2 linked regions of the Alligator mississippiensis genome follow. The protein of the gene in region 2 interacts with the protein of the main gene of each other region in a biochemical or structural test. Links are inferred from orthologs where the notes say so. Each region holds a gene or a part of one and is shown on either strand. Other genes may lie near its edges.

Region 1 (7,085 bases), on a different chromosome or scaffold from region 2:
TTTCAGCCTCCGGAAGAGAAGGTTGAGAGGCGACCTTGCGGCTGCCTATAAGTTCATCACCGGGGCACAGAAGGGAATTGGTGAGGATTTATTCACCAAGGCGCCCCCGGGGGTTACAAGAAACAATGGCCACAAGCTAGCAGAGAGCAGATTTAGACTGGACATTAGGAAGAACTTCTTCACGGTTCGAGTGGCCAAGGTCTGGAACGGGCTCCCAAGGGAGGTGGTGCTCTCCCCTACCCTGGGGGTCTTCAAGAGGAGGTTAGACGAGTATCTAGCTGGGGTCATCTAGACCCAGCACTCTTTCCTGCTTATGCAGGGGGTCGGACTCGATGATCTATTGAGGTCCCTTCCAACCCTAACGTCTATGAATCATCTATGAATCTATGAAAACTCGGCCACAAGGGGGCATGTGCCCCTGACTCGCTTCCTGCCTCAGTTTCCCTGTGGTCTCCCCCCACCCAAGACCTGGGGCAACACCCAGGCATCTGGGCTCCCAGCCCCCCAACTTTGCCCCAGCACCAGGTACAAGAGGCAGGAGCTGACTCAGACATTAACCATTTCATTGCCTGCGGCTCTGCAGCCTGGGGGGGGCAAACTGCCCAAGACCCCCCCGGCCTGCCAGGCCTGGGAGCGGGCTCAGAGCCCCCGTGGGCCCACCAGCACATCCATGAGCAAGTCCAGGTCATTGATGTCCAGGCCCCCGTCCTCAGGGCCCGGCGCCGCCTCGTCCTCGCCCGGCGCCGGCGCCAAGGCCTTGAGGCCGGCAGGTGCCCACAGCTCGCCGTCATACATGGAGGTGTCGATGTCCTCGAAGACGCCCTCCAGCCCCTCGTCCGGCAGAGGGGCCAGCAGTGCCCGTGCCCCGCACTCTGCGCCCCACAGCGCCGGGACCAGGCTGCCCGCCGGCTCCAAGTCCCCCAGGAGCCCCGAGACGGACGAGCCGAGCGAGACGTCCAGGCTGGGGAGCAGCATGGCAGGCCCTGTGCCGAGAAGGATGCCAGAGCTGTCCAAGGGGGCGCTGGAGCCGTCCAGTGGGCCCGTGGGCCAGTCTGGGAGGGCGCCGGAGCTGTCCAAGGGGGCGCCAGAGCCCTCCAGTGGGCCCATGGGGCAGTCTGGGAGGGTGCCGGAGCTGTCCAAGGGGGCGCCGGAGCTGTCCAGAGGGCCCGTGGGGCAGTCTGGGAGGGCGCCGGAGCTGTCCAAGGGGGCGCCGGAGCCATCCAGTGGGCATGTGGGGCAGTCTGGGAGGGCGCCGGAGCCATCCGGCGGGGCGGCGGGGCAACGTAGGACAGTGCCAGGGGGCTCGGGCGCCGCAGCCTCCGTCTGCATCTGGTCCTGGAGGCGCCGCAGGGCGTTGGTCACGAGCACCAGGGGCCGCAGGTCGGGCTCCACGTGCCGCAGGCTCCGGTGCAGCTTGACCACGGACAGGCTGAAGAGGGAGGTGGCCGGGGCGGCGGGGGACGCGGGGGCATCCGGCCCTGCGCTCTCTGCGGTGCCGCGCTTGCGCTTGACGCCCTTGTTCAGCATGGCGCTGCGAGGGAAGGGGAGACTCAGCACCGCGCCGCGGGGGCTCGGGCACAGGGGGCGGGGCCGGACACCCGGGTTTTTTCCTGCCTCCCCGCCCCGGTCTCGCGGCTCCCATGGACCCAGGCTGCAGGTGCCATCACTGAGGCCCGGAGCAGAGGGCTCCCCCCCACCCCTGTGCCTCAGTTTCCCCACCCCGGTCCTGCCCGGCGCCGGCGAGGCGGGGGCGGGGCGGTGAGTCAGGCCGGCCCCGCCCCCCCGTGAGTCACCGCCCGCGCTCCCTCCGCTCCGCTCTGCTCCGCCCCGCCCCCGCGCCCCGGTCCCGGCCCCCCCCCGTCCCGGCCGCCCCCCTCCCCTCCCCGCAGCGCAGCCCCGAGCCCGGGACCCTCATTTACATACCCGCTCCTCAGGGGCCAATCCGCGGGGCCTGGAACGCGGCGCGCAGCCAATCAGGAGCCGGCATCCCCCCCTCCTCTCTTCCCCCGCCCCCCTCCACCGACCCGGCGCCGATCCTCGCTGCCGCGGCACGCCCGGCCCCAGCCAATGGGCGGGGCCAGGCCAGGAAAAGGGCGGGGCGCGGGCCAGCCAATCGGAGCGTGGGGCTGGGGGGCTTATTTGCATTCCGTGGGCGGACGGGGGAGAGTCAAGGAAAGGGGAGAGGAAGGAGCGCGAGGCCCCGCCTGCTTCTGCCTGATAGGTGGAGGCGAGGGGGATTCATTTGCATAGTGGGGGGCTGACGTCAGCGGCTCCCCGCGGCGCGTGGGGGGAGATGAGTGTGTCCGGTCTCAGCTCACAGCAGCCGCCAATAGGCGGGGCGGGGGTTGGGGCTCCGGCCTCCCCCGAGCCTGGCACCCCCGGGCACCCCTGTGCCAGGCGGGTAGCAGAGGAAGGGCTGCGGCGAGGAACCGAAACCGCAGCACGCCCTGCTACGCCCGCCTGGCGCCCAGCGGCCCAGGGGGTGCAGGGAAGGGCCCCCCGCCGCAGGCAGGTGTTGAGGCCTGGGCCTGGGCACGTGGCCCCTGAAGCGGAGCAGGGCCTGGCACGGCCACGGGTCCTGACCTACGCCTGCACCCCCCGGGGGGCCCAGAGGGAGCCCGGGCTTTGCCCCTGCCCCCCAGACCTCGTAGTGACCGCGGAGGCGGACGCAGACCCTGCAGCTCCCCGACTCCCTCGCCTCCACCCCATGGGCCCCGCTGCCCTCTTCCACCCAGCCATTCCCAGTCCCGATCCCCCATGACCTCTGCCCCCCCATGGTTGCCCCTGCATCACATGGTGCCCCCCATGACGTCCCTGCCCTGCACGGTGCCCCCCGGGACCCCGATCCCCCATGACCCCTGACCCTCCACGCTGCCCCTGCCCCGCCTGGTACCACCCCATGGCCTGTGCCTCCCATGGGGCAGCTCCCCCATCACCCCTTCATGGTGCCTCCTCTTTCCTGCCCCCCCCAGCCCTGCTCCCTGATTGGAGCTGGCGCTGCCATGGGGATAAAGCAGCCTGCAGATCCCAACATGTCCCAGGTGGAGGGGGGGGGGGCAGAGTGGGGGGGCTCAGCGCAGGGCATGCTGGGACATTTTGGCCTCCTGCCAGGCCCCCTCCTCCCCTGGTGGGGCTCAGCAGCCCTTGTGGGGTGGGAATGGGAACCGGGACGCCTGGCAGGCTGCGGGGTCGGACTCGGACCTGGATGCCCGGGTTCTCCCCAGCCCAGTGGCGGAGTGGGGGCAGTGCCTCAGTTCCCCCAGATGGCAGGTGCATCACCCGGCTCCCTTCTTCAACCCCCCCAGGCTCCCTGCTGCACGTGGGCAGCTCCCGCAGGGAACCCAGGTGTCTGGGCCAGGCCGGGAGGGGGGGCGTCAGGCCAGGCAGGTGGAGAGCGGCTGGGAAAAATCACTGCGGTTTAATCATCCCGGGAGCGTCAGGCGCCGGAGCAAGCAGGGTGGGCAGCCGGGGGCCGGGCTCACTCCTTGGGGTAGTGGCGGGAGAGGTAGACGTTCTTGCCGTCGTACTGGGCCGTGCTCAGGCACTGCAGGAAGAAGTGGCCCAAGTCGTGCTTGGAGATGACGCGGGAGCCGCTCGCTGCGTTCACGGTCACCGTGTAGTCCCCGGTCAGCGGCTGGTCACCTGCGGGGGCAAGGGAGGGTCAGCAGGGGGGTCCCCATCGCTGCCCCCCTCCCCCCCAGCCCCGGCACACACCGGCGATGTGGGGCGGCATGACGGAGACGCAGTCCAGGCCCGAGTCCTGCAGGATGCGGTGCATGCGGATGTGGTCGTCGGTCACGGGCTGCAGCCTGGCCGGCACCTTGGCCGGGTCCCACATCAGGAAGGCTGCGGACAAGGGGCCACCCGAGCTGTGAGCTGCGGGCACCCGGCTCCGAGCCCCTGATGGGAGCCAGGAGTCTGGGCCCCCAGCCCTGCTGCACCCCTTGATCCCACCCCACCCCACCCCCTGGCATTAACCCCTGGCAGCCCAGAGCTCACCCGACAGGCACGCGACCACCTTGCGGATCCCGTGGGCCTTCATGGCAGTCACGATGTTCTTGGTGCCCTCGGACATCATGGTGGTGGGGCCTGGGGGGCAGGAGGCGGGTCAGGGGGCAGGAGACGGGTCAAGGGGGCAGGGGGCAGGGGGCAGGGGGCAGGGGACGTACTGAGGTCATTGCGGGTGCCCAGGATGATGATGACGGCGTCCTGCCCCTGCACAGCCCGGTCCACGGCGCTGGGGTCCAGCACGTCGCCCACCACCACGTGTGCTGGGTGCAGGTCCGGGGGCAGCCGCGCTGGGTCCCGCACCAGCACCGTCACCTGGTAGCCTGAGGGGGGAGAGCGGGTGAGCGTGGCCCGGACACCTGGGTTCTCCCCCGGCTCTGGGGGGGGCTCCCGCTCCCGTGGCTCAGCGCCTGTCTCGCTTTTGTGCCGCCCATGCCAGCTCCGGGTCTTGGCTGGCACCCGGCCCAGGCAGCAAGGGCCGGGGTGGCTGGGTGCCCAGCTGCCTGTTGGCGCCCGCTGGGCCCAGCGTGGCGCTGAGGTTAGGCCCTGGATTGGCCCGTGCTCCAGCTATGGGCTCACGCCCCCGGCTCGGGCATGTGGCAGGCGAGCAGCTGGGGACACGTGACCATGACTCAGCACCCTCCCAGCTGGGACCGTGACTCAGCAGAAGCCACCCTGGCGCGTGGGGACCTCAGTGGCCCTGGGCTGGCCCCTCTTGGCCAATGCCAATGGGGTTTGTACAGCACCTGGCACCCCGAGCCAGTGCCCTGCTCCAGACGATTGCACTGACCCACCTTTTGGCCACCCGGTGCCAACCAGCCCCCAGGCGCCCCAACCTGGTGGTGCTGGGGCCCTGATCCCGGTTGGGGTCTGGGTGGCACCAACACCCGATCCCCAAGCACCGCTGCTGGCGGGTCACGGTGGCACAGCGGGGAGGGGACCCAGGCGTCCGGGGGGCAACAGCAGAACTATCTCTGCTGGACGTGCCCAGGGCAGGGCGTCCACCAGTAACGGCCTTGCTTATCTCCCCACGCCATGCGCCGTCCACACCCCCCTGGCGCGGGCTCGGGGGCTCCTGCAGCTACCCCTGGCGGGGCCCGGGGCATCGGGGGGCCCATCCAATGCCCCCTCCCTGCACCCCCTGGGGCTACGTCTGGGTGTCCCTCCGTCAGCTGCCCCCCTGGGGGTGCTCGGGGCTTCTGCCCAGGGGGCAGGGGCTCTTCTGCCCCCAGCGCCCCGGGGGTTGGCTCGGACCCCCCGCGCCGCCCGCCCTACCGGCCTGCAGGGCTTGCGCCAGCGTGGCCAGCCCCGTCATGCCCGTGGCCCCGAAGATGACGATGTTCTTGCAGGTGGCCATGCCGGCGGTGCGGGTGCCTCTGTCACTCGGGTGTCCCCGCCGCGGGCCCTTCCGCGCGCTCGGTGCTGCGAGCTCCACCCAGAGGGGCCGGGCACCCGCAGGGCCGGCCCCTGCCAGCTGATGCAGCCGGTGCTGGGGAGGGGAGGGCGGCCGGGTGCCAGCCCTGCCCTTGCGGCTCCCACCTGGGCCTGGGGACGGCCCCCGCCTGCCTGAGTGTGCAGAGAGCCTGCACCCCGCAGCACCCTGGGGGCGGGGCCGGGCAGGGGGCGGGGCCGGGCACCCCGGGGACCCCGGTTCGGGTCCCGGCCCCCCCGGCTGACCCGGATCGCGGGGAGCGGCCGGCGCAGGACCCGGGGGGGCGGCGAGGGGGCTCTGCCCGGGGATTGGCTGCCGCGGCCGGCGGCGCTGACGAGCGGCGGGGCCGGGCCGGGCAGGCGGGCGGAGCCGGCGCATCCCTGGATGCTGCAGCCCGGAGCCGCGACCGCGCCCGCGGCCCCGGTGAGACACGGGGGGGGGGCTGCGTGTGCGTGTGTGTGCGTGTGTGTGTGTGTGTGTGCGTGCGCGCGCGTGTCTGTCTGCATGGCTGTGCATGGGTACGTGTCTGCACGGGTGTGCCCGTGGCCATGGGTGTGTGTGCATGCGCGTGTGTGAGAGCGTCTGGGTGTGTTTGTGCATGGGTGTGCATGACTGTATTGTGTGCGCGCATCTGTATGCATGCATGTGCGCCAGGGGGGAGGCGTGTGTGTGCATGGGGGCGCGTGTGTGCATGCGTGCCATTGCACATGGGAGCAGGTGCACATGTGTGTGTGCGTGTCGACGTGCCCTCTCCCGTGGCAGCGTGCCCCCCTGTGCAGGCGTATCCTTGCATGCACCCACACATATCCTTGCCCGTGTGTGTGTGTGTGTGTGTGTGTGTGTGTGTGTGTGTGTGTGCAGACCCATGCATCCCTGCCTGGGGAGAGGGGGGCCTGTGGGCCTGCACACGTGTGTGCATGCATGTGTGAGCCCCCCGCGGAGGGCAGCACCCTCTCCTGCTACCCCCCACTTGGGGCGCTGGAGCCGGGGCCTGGGCTGCCCGTCCCTGCCGCTCCCTGCAGGCCGGGGGGGCAGCAGAGGCCCCGGAGCTGGAGCCAGGTGGTGGCTGGGGGGGCTCCATGCTGCGCCGGGTGTAGGCCCAGGCCTCCGAGCTGTGATGGGGGGGGGGGGCTGTGTCAGCTGAAGGTGATGGGCAGGGAGCCAGCCTTGGCTGGAGGGACAGACCGGGGATGCCGGGGCTTGTCCTGCGGGCAGGGGCTGGAGCTGCACCCTGGGCTCCCGGGCACCCCCTCCCAGCTGCCGGGGCCGGAGCAAGCCCCAGCCCCAGGAGGGAGGCTGGAGCTCCATCCATCTGGCTGCAGCCGCGGCCTGGTCTCCACCGTGCTGCCCAGCGCGTGTACATGTGGGCACAGACGTGCACGCGAGTGAGCCAGGGTGGAGGCTCATGGATGCTCTTTTTGCAGGGCACCAAGGGTTAATACCCCACCCCGGACACCTGCCTTTTTCCTGCTGTGCCGGGGTCCGGGTCTGTCTGGGGGTCCCTGGAGCCTTGCGGGGGCTGGAGGGGGTGGGAGGCCCCTGGGATGCCCCAGTTACCTCTGGGGGGTATGCAGGTGCACGTGTGTGTGCATGGGCATGCATGTATGCTCCCGTATGCGTATGCATGTGTTTGTATGTGCATGCA
Region 2 (7,743 bases):
CAACCAATTTCCATTTCACTCATTGCACTGTATCCTTCGCTATGCCGACCGTTTCCTTTGTTAACTGAGGAGGGAACGAGAACCAGATCATGTGCTCCCTTTAAAACCAGTCAGACTTTCCTCGCCCCCGAAAAAAGGGGGGCAAGGAGAAGAAATCAAATCCTGGGGCAATCCTCCGCCGATATGAAATTTCCTAACTCCGGTTGCTTTGAAGATATTTTCCCCCGGTGAGCAGCACATTTTAAAATATTTTTTAAATTTAAATTTCTTTAATTTTAATGAATTAATTAGTTGCAATTTTTTATTTTTAATAATTTATTTTTTTAGAATTGTATTATACACTATATTAAATATATGTATATAAATATAACACTGATATGTGCAGTTGTTGGACAATAATAGGGACCAATAATATATATATTAGAATATATATATATAATATGTATATGATTAGTCCCTATTATTGTCCAGTATCTGCAAATATCAATGTTATATAGTGTATAGTACAATTCTAAAAATATTACTGATTATATAATAATATTATTTAAAATTATGATATATTATTGGTCCCTTATTATTGTCCAGCCTCTGCAAATACCAATGTTTTAGTACAAGGGGACATTTTTTCCTGTAAGTTTAGTAGACAGTAGGCCCCCAGCCCTGCAGTACGTAAGCTAGATCTGTTTTCGCTAGTGCCCGCATGGGAAACTTCTTGGGCTAAACGAAATGGAGATCGCCTATTGAGAAAGGATTGCTCACTATCCACGGGATTATCGTCTCTGACAATGGGTAATCGTTGTGACCCTGTCAGGGCAGTCCCTATTGGGGGTGGGGGGGAGGCGAATCGGGGCGACTGCCCGGGGCCCCACGCCTTGGTGGGGCCCGTGGACAGTGCAGTACAGGCCCTGCCGCGGCCGCCACGCACCGCCGGCTCTACCACCGCCGAGCATTGCTGACTCCTGCAGTTCGCCACTCCCTGCCCCGCACATCCTTAGGGACTGCTCTGGACCCTGTCGCTATCATTTGTGTACTGCGCTCGAGCTCAGAATCTATCTCGTTCAGCCTGGGCATTAGTCCTTTCAGCGACTCATGGAAATAGGCTTTTGTAAACAGAAGCGTGTGTAATAAATACATAATAATATAAACTATACTAAATTAAATCGATATTGTTAGACTTCTATTATTGTCGGGTATATGCAAGTATCAGTGTTTTAGTGCAAAGGGTATAGGTTGTAGTCATCCATGCTGGTCTAAGGACATAGGGTGAAGAGTTGGAGAAATTCTTCTTTCTCTGGCTTGCAACAGAAAAATTTCTCCAACTATTTTAATTGGTCTAATAAAAAATATCAGATTTACCCAAAGATCCCTGTCTGCCTTAGTGCAAAGGGGACTAATTTTTTTTTCTCAGTTAGGTAGCCAAATAATTAAATAGTATAAGGTCGTTAATAAAAGGAATCCAGGAAAAAGTGTTTTTGTTCTGTTTTGGTTTGTTTTTTGGGGGGGTATAAGTCGAGACAGCATACACTTCTATTTTTTATTTTGAGGAAGAATCCATTTTCTTAACTGGCTGCCTCACACTTGCTATTTGAAACAAATAGAACTGTACTAATATTGCAATTTCTTTATATGATTTGATTTACATAACTTTTAACATGCACAAATCCCCATTTTAAACAAAATAATGTATTTGACACTTAATGCTGCCTTAAATACCTTGAAACCTAAACTTTTTTGTAACTACATTCTGAGAGAGAGAAAATTTGAATACAGGTAATGGAATATTATCTTTAAATATTCATTTAAAAGGTACATATAAATAACATGGACATTTTGCATGCCTTTTTTTCTGGGCAGGTTACATTTTAAATGGCTAAAACTCTTTGTAAAAGCTTACCTGCATGGCAGCTATTTTGTGTGCCAACCTTTTTATTAATTAAATGGCAGTAGCTTCTCTTCCCAATCTCAAATACAGGTTGAGAGAAAACTATAGGGTGGATCTAAAATCTGAACCTACTTGGAAATGGACTCTCTCTCTCTCCCCCCACATGTGTTTTTTTATTACTTTCCTTTCCAAGAGTAATAAAGAGAAAAGAACGATGCATCTTGTCTGTAGGCTACCAAAATTATTCCAGAGTCAGTGGCTGATTTATGCCCAGTTCAGCCTGGTGTTTTGACACTGGGTTGGGGATTGAAAACAAAAAGAAACAACCCCCTCCCCTCCCCTCCCCCCAAAAAAACAACCAACCCCCCCCAAAACAAAAAACCCCAACAACTAGAGGCACCACGTTTTTCTCTGCAATCACTCTTTGTGCACCAAGACAATCTAATTACTTAATTCCTTGAATTTTTACAGCTTTGTTTTTCAAACCTTCTGCTCTCTATATCTCTGCCCTCTTACCCGGGCGCCGTTTCTAGAGAACAGTAATGCAGCCTTGCACGCCAGTGTTATCAAGAGGATTGAAAACAAACGAAAACTAAAAAACACCAGCAACAAAAGTGTCCCCCCCGCAAAAAAAAAAAAAAAAAAAAAAAAAAAAATCCACCAAGGGAAGAAGAGAAGAGAAATGGAAGACACGGGGCCCCGGGACCAGGGGAACGCACATGCCCCTTCCAGCTGCCTGCGCAAGCAGCCGGAACTCCCCCCTTCCCCCACTCTCCTGGGGGACCAGACGGATTAGGATTTGCTAAACCCGGGGTGGGGTCCCCTCTTCAACCCAGATTTCTCTCCGACGTCTCCCCGCGATTGATTCACCCCCCAGTCCCAGCGCTGTGAAACCCAGGTGCAGTTAGCCGGCTCCCCCGCGCTCAGCCGCCCCCGCGGGGAGGCTACCTGCAGCGCCGTGCGGCCGAAGCTGTTCTGGGCGTCGGGGGCCGCGCCCGCCTCCAGCAGCGCCTGTACTGCCGCGCAGTCCCCCCGCGCCGCGGCGCTGGCCAGCTGGTCGCCCGGGCTCGCCGCCATGTGCCGCCAGCCGGCAGCCCCCACGCCCCCTCTCTGCTGCTGCCGCAGCCTGTAAGCTCGTAGCCCTTCCGTTTCCACCGGCCGCCCTCAGTCCCGCGGGAAAGGGGCGGGATCTTCCCCTGCTCCCGTGCTCAGCCCCCCCAGCCCCGCCACCCCGCGTCGGCTCGAGGGCGCGCACGGCCCTGAGGGCTGCAGCCGCTGGGTGGAGGTGCGCTGCCACCAGCCCCGGCGCAAGCGCCTGCCTGGCCATCCGGAGCGCGCAGCGTGGGCGCGGGCTGCCTCGCGGGGACGGGGGATAGGGCAGGAGGTGTAGGCTGAGCAGCGCTGGGTACCAGGCCCGCGACCATACTACCAGCTTTCCTTCGGCCCCAGGAAAAGTGTCTTGGGCCCCTGCTGAACACGCCAAGAGCAAAGGCTGGCCGCCACTGCGCCCTTGCCTATGGCAAACCCTGCCCAGGCGCCTCATCTCAACGCCAGCTCGGGGGGATGGGAGATGCCACTCAGCTGTCGGGCCCGCGATTCACGAAGGACGTGGATCTCTTGGAAAAAGCCCAGCAGAGAGACAACAGTGGTTCGGGGCCAGGGGGGCAAGGCTTCTGAGAAAAGCTTGAAGGAGCTAGGGTTCTTGATTCCGCAGAAGAGAAGAGCGGGGGGAGGGGCGATTTGAGAACAGTCTCCAAATACCTGAAGGGCCTTACAGAGAAGATGGGGAGGGATTTTTCCCTCTGGCTCTAGCTGTAGGGGACTGCACTAGGAGCAATGGCCTCAAACTGCAGCATGGGAGATTTAGGATGGATAGTAGGAAAACCTTTGGGACTCTGAGGGTGGTCAGGCATTGGAATAGACTACTTAGAGAACTTGTGGAATCTCCTTGCTTGGAAACTATTAAGAGTAGGTTGGACTGACACTTAGGAGGGATGGTTTAGTCGGGACTGGACAGACACCTTGCTGGGATCATTTGAACTCAGCACTATTCCTGTCCACAGCAGGGGGTTGGACTCGATGATCTTTAGGTCCTGTCCAAGCCTTAATTTTTATGATATGATTCTATGATATGATATGACCAAGCCTGCCTTGTGATCCCTTCCAGCCCTACTTTCTTAATATGTTTTAATACTCTAGTACCGAGCATCTCCCAACATTACCATTAAAATAAGCACCATTATAGGTGGGATCCTGAGATTCCCCTTCTGGGCTGGTCTGAACAGAGCTGTACAGTGTCCGAGTAGATAACCTCTGGAAGTCTTCTTTCCTTTCTCTCTCTCTCTCCCCCCCCCCCCCAACTTTTTTGATTCAGGCAACTATATAAAGCAAAATCGGAAACAAAGAGGAACATGCAGGAATTCGAATGAGGTTGAAGCTGTAACATCATTACAAAAGAAATAATACAAAACAATTCCTATAAATTATCACTACTATCAATATCGTGGTGTGTGTGTGTATGTGTGTGTGTGTGTGTGTGTGTGTGCGTATGTGTGTGGTCATTAATTAATTTTCAAAGAATCTGACTAGAGACTAGCTTACTGGGTGGTAATTTTTTGCCCTCAGCAATAGAAATAGATCAGTATAGGTTGGAAATAGAACCCATATTTTGAAATATCTATTCCTTCTTTGTCTTAGGCTGGTAATCTAATTTGATATGACAGTTTGTCCAACAACAACACATCCTATATTTTAGGTTAGCACATTATGGGGGAGAGGAAGAGGGGATGGTTCCTTCCACATATAAGCCATCTGTAATCTAGCTAACGACTTTTACTGGGGCATTCAAATGACAAACCAGTGGATTCAAAGAATTATTACCACCCACCTCACTAGTAACTTCCCCCTTCCACCCTCCCCCCCAGAATATTTGTACATTTGGACACAACCATAACATATGGAAAAAGGGACCTCTTTCTCTTTAGTTTCTCCAACATGATGCATCACCATTAGAAAATATGTGTTGGATTCTAGTTGGAGATAGGTCTCATCTTTGGAGTATTTTATAAAAGGCTTTTTTTTTTTCCTTTGGAAAGCATATATGGAAAATGAACACCTCTGTCCCCAAATTTCTCTTCAGTGCTCTAGCTCAGTTTCTTTCCTCAGGTCTCTTTCACAAGCCTTCATTTGTTTAGTCTTCCTAGCCATCCCTTTCTCTATTAAAATTGCATATATAAGATTAACTCTTTTTTTCTTGAGTCCACAATATGTCAGTTGCTCAAAGGGAGTATGCTTTTCTATTTATTTTTTAAATAAAATTCCTAATGTGAGGATACTGAAAAAAGGACTCATTTCCATTAGGGTTATCACAGATTCCTTTATTTTATAAGATCTCATAGCCTCCTCCCAAAAGCATTTGCCTAACTGGAGAATACCCACCCTGACCCAAACTGAGGGTATGTTTATACCAGATGCCTTAATGTACCCTGAACTGTTCTACTGTGCATTAGCACATTGCAGCAAAAACTAATATGCAGTAGAATTAGTCTGCTGTGCATTGAGCATCACAAAAAAAATGCCTTTGCTACCCTGCATTAGTGCTGCTACTGTGCCTTTATCTAGTACCTCATATTAGAGGTACTAAACTTAATGCAGTAGGAAAGGCACATTAATGAATATATAGACATGCTAAGAATTGCATTTTTGATCAGTTCTAGGGAGGAATTCTTTGGACAGTTAATGGGGAGGAGTGTGGGGAAAGCAACTTTTCACACACCAATGTATATCTTTCAACTGGGCTGCATGATAATATGCCATTATGGTGGGCACTGCAAGATCTTCCATTTTAGAAGGCCTGTGTATAACTGATGTGCTTACGCTTGGCCTCTTACTTTTACAGGCAAAATTCAGGAGAAAAGTTTGTGAAGCCTTTAATGTACTCCTTGGCATACATATAGTTAAGCTTTACAACAGTAAAGGAATTTTTGGGATATATATTTATTTTAAAAGTGGTTATTCTGTTTCTCCAAGAAATATCCATCCCCCATCCCCCTCCATTTTCTGAGGGGTTTTGTTATTTTAGACCAGACTGGCAAATAATTGGTGATAAAAAGTTTCTTGTGCTTTACTGTAAAGTTAATACCCAGGCATCTTATTGAATTTTAACCCAATTAAATGCATATAGTTTTTCATATATACATTTATATAAGCTTAAGTTTCTCAGAAATACCATGATCTAACATTTCTGATTCTTCATAATTATTTTTTTATCCATAAAAAGAGACAAACTTACATGCCTGGAATACTATTGCTTTTAAGGAAAAAAGAGGGTTTTTTACAAAAAGGAGTGCATCATCTGCATACAGAGCTCTATTAAGTTTCATCCCTGTGTCCTAAAAAGCCTCTAACACATGGTCACCTGTTAAGGAAAAAAACTTCTTGCCTAGGTTTCAAAAGAAAGTTTTTAAGAAGTTCAAACTTTGGTTCACATGCAGTTCAGGCAGGCAAAGAAAAGTAAAAAAAATCCATGTTCACCTTGAAATTTTTATTCTATTACCTGGCCAATTTCAGAAGCTTATTAAAGAAGGCTAGTGAATACAGAAATATGGTTGATAGGTTATATTCTAATTCAGCGGTTTTCAACCTATTTGCCATAGTGGGCCACACATGCAGCTTTCAACATGTTATATGGGCTACACCCCACAGCTAAGGGGGCCCCCAGCTGCCAGGGCTACAGAAACCAGGGCCACGGCCTGTAGCCCCCTATCCCGCCCCCCCATCAGCACCCAAGCCCCGGAGGCCTCCCATGGGAGGTGGTGGTTGCTGTGGCCAGAGTGGAGCATGCAGTTCAGCTCTCTGCCACTCCCCCCCTCCCCCACTGTGGGCAGCACAACTGAAATGAAGCCCATTGCGGGGAGAGGGGAGGGAGATATGACCTGCCTATTGTGGGCTCAGGGCTTCTGCAGCTCAGTGGGTGGGCCCTGGAGGGGAGGCTCAGTGCCATGGCTGGGAACAGCATGCTGGCCTTGCCACCATGGTGAGGCAACCCTGCCCACCTGGCAGCAGCAGCAGCAGCATGGAGTTGTGTCCCCCAGCTGTTGCTAGGTAGGCAGGGGGTGGCTTGCCATGGTGGTGTCGCCAACATGGGGCTCCCTGAAGTGGCATTGAGCTTCCCCACCCCACTCTGCTGCGGAGGCCCCTGGGAGAGGGCAGCAGGGTAGGGAGCCCCAAGCCTGCAGCTGGCAGTTCACATCTACCCCACCCCTGCACACAAATCCAGGGGGCATGTGCCCCCCCCTTCCTCTCTTCCTGGGATTATGCGCAGCAGCAGGGAGCCCCCCCCCCTACCCCTCACTGGGCCCTGTGGCTGCACATTTCTATCTTGGTCCTGGACCCCATGTACCACTTCAGCTGGGCAGTGACCACAGCCCATCCCAGCCCTGTCCTGCCCTGTCTTACTTTAATCCCTCTCTCCCTCCCTCACTGTGGGGGCCTCAGTTCCTCCCCCTCCCCCCCACTTCCCTGCATAGACTTACCGGGAGGGAGCTGAAGGAGCTGCTCTCCATGCTGTCTGCCCCATGCATGTGTGCCACTTGCCTCTGATTGCTCTCCTCCTGCTCTTCCCAGCCCCAAGCAGCTCCTTGCAGGTGGGAACTCTGTCAGCCTCCAAGGGGAAACCTGCCATTTTCCATGTTTTTTCTCCCTGACTCTAACAAACAGGTACTAATTAAATGTGCAATAACTGGAGCTACTGCCCAGTAGCACCAGTGCACACTTTTTAAGTGATGCAAATATTCAGTAGACTAATTCTACTGTGTGTTAGTGCATTAACAAGGTGCAGCAGGGCTGGGGCTGCTGCAGGG

What was found. The genes of interacting proteins can lie anywhere in the genome.
Region 1: the proteins of cyclin-dependent kinase 4 inhibitor B-like (region 2) and SERTAD1 form a complex in vitro, tested with the Homo sapiens proteins (2 studies listed by BioGRID). The link is inferred for Alligator mississippiensis from reciprocal best matches to the Homo sapiens genes CDKN2A and SERTAD1.

What each region holds. Positions count from the first base shown.
Region 1 is NC_081838.1:2,495,820-2,502,904, forward strand, and holds SERTAD1 (SERTA domain-containing protein 1), read right to left. Parts: upstream 2,742-7,085; 5' UTR 1,924-2,741; intron 1,532-1,923; 5' UTR 1,528-1,531; coding exon 640-1,527; 3' UTR 547-639; downstream 1-546. Other genes in the region: BLVRB (flavin reductase (NADPH)), read right to left, coding at 3,479-3,642, 3,715-3,846, 4,000-4,089, 4,170-4,331, 5,284-5,365; SPTBN4 (spectrin beta chain, non-erythrocytic 4), read left to right, coding at 5,825-5,863. UniProt on the Homo sapiens protein: Acts at E2F-responsive promoters as coregulator to integrate signals provided by PHD- and/or bromodomain-containing transcription factors. Stimulates E2F1/TFDP1 transcriptional activity.
Region 2 is NC_081826.1:175,523,309-175,531,051, reverse strand, and holds the start of cyclin-dependent kinase 4 inhibitor B-like, read right to left. Parts: upstream 3,052-7,743; 5' UTR 2,960-3,051; coding exon 2,831-2,959; intron 1-2,830. UniProt on the Homo sapiens protein: Acts as a negative regulator of the proliferation of normal cells by interacting strongly with CDK4 and CDK6. This inhibits their ability to interact with cyclins D and to phosphorylate the retinoblastoma protein.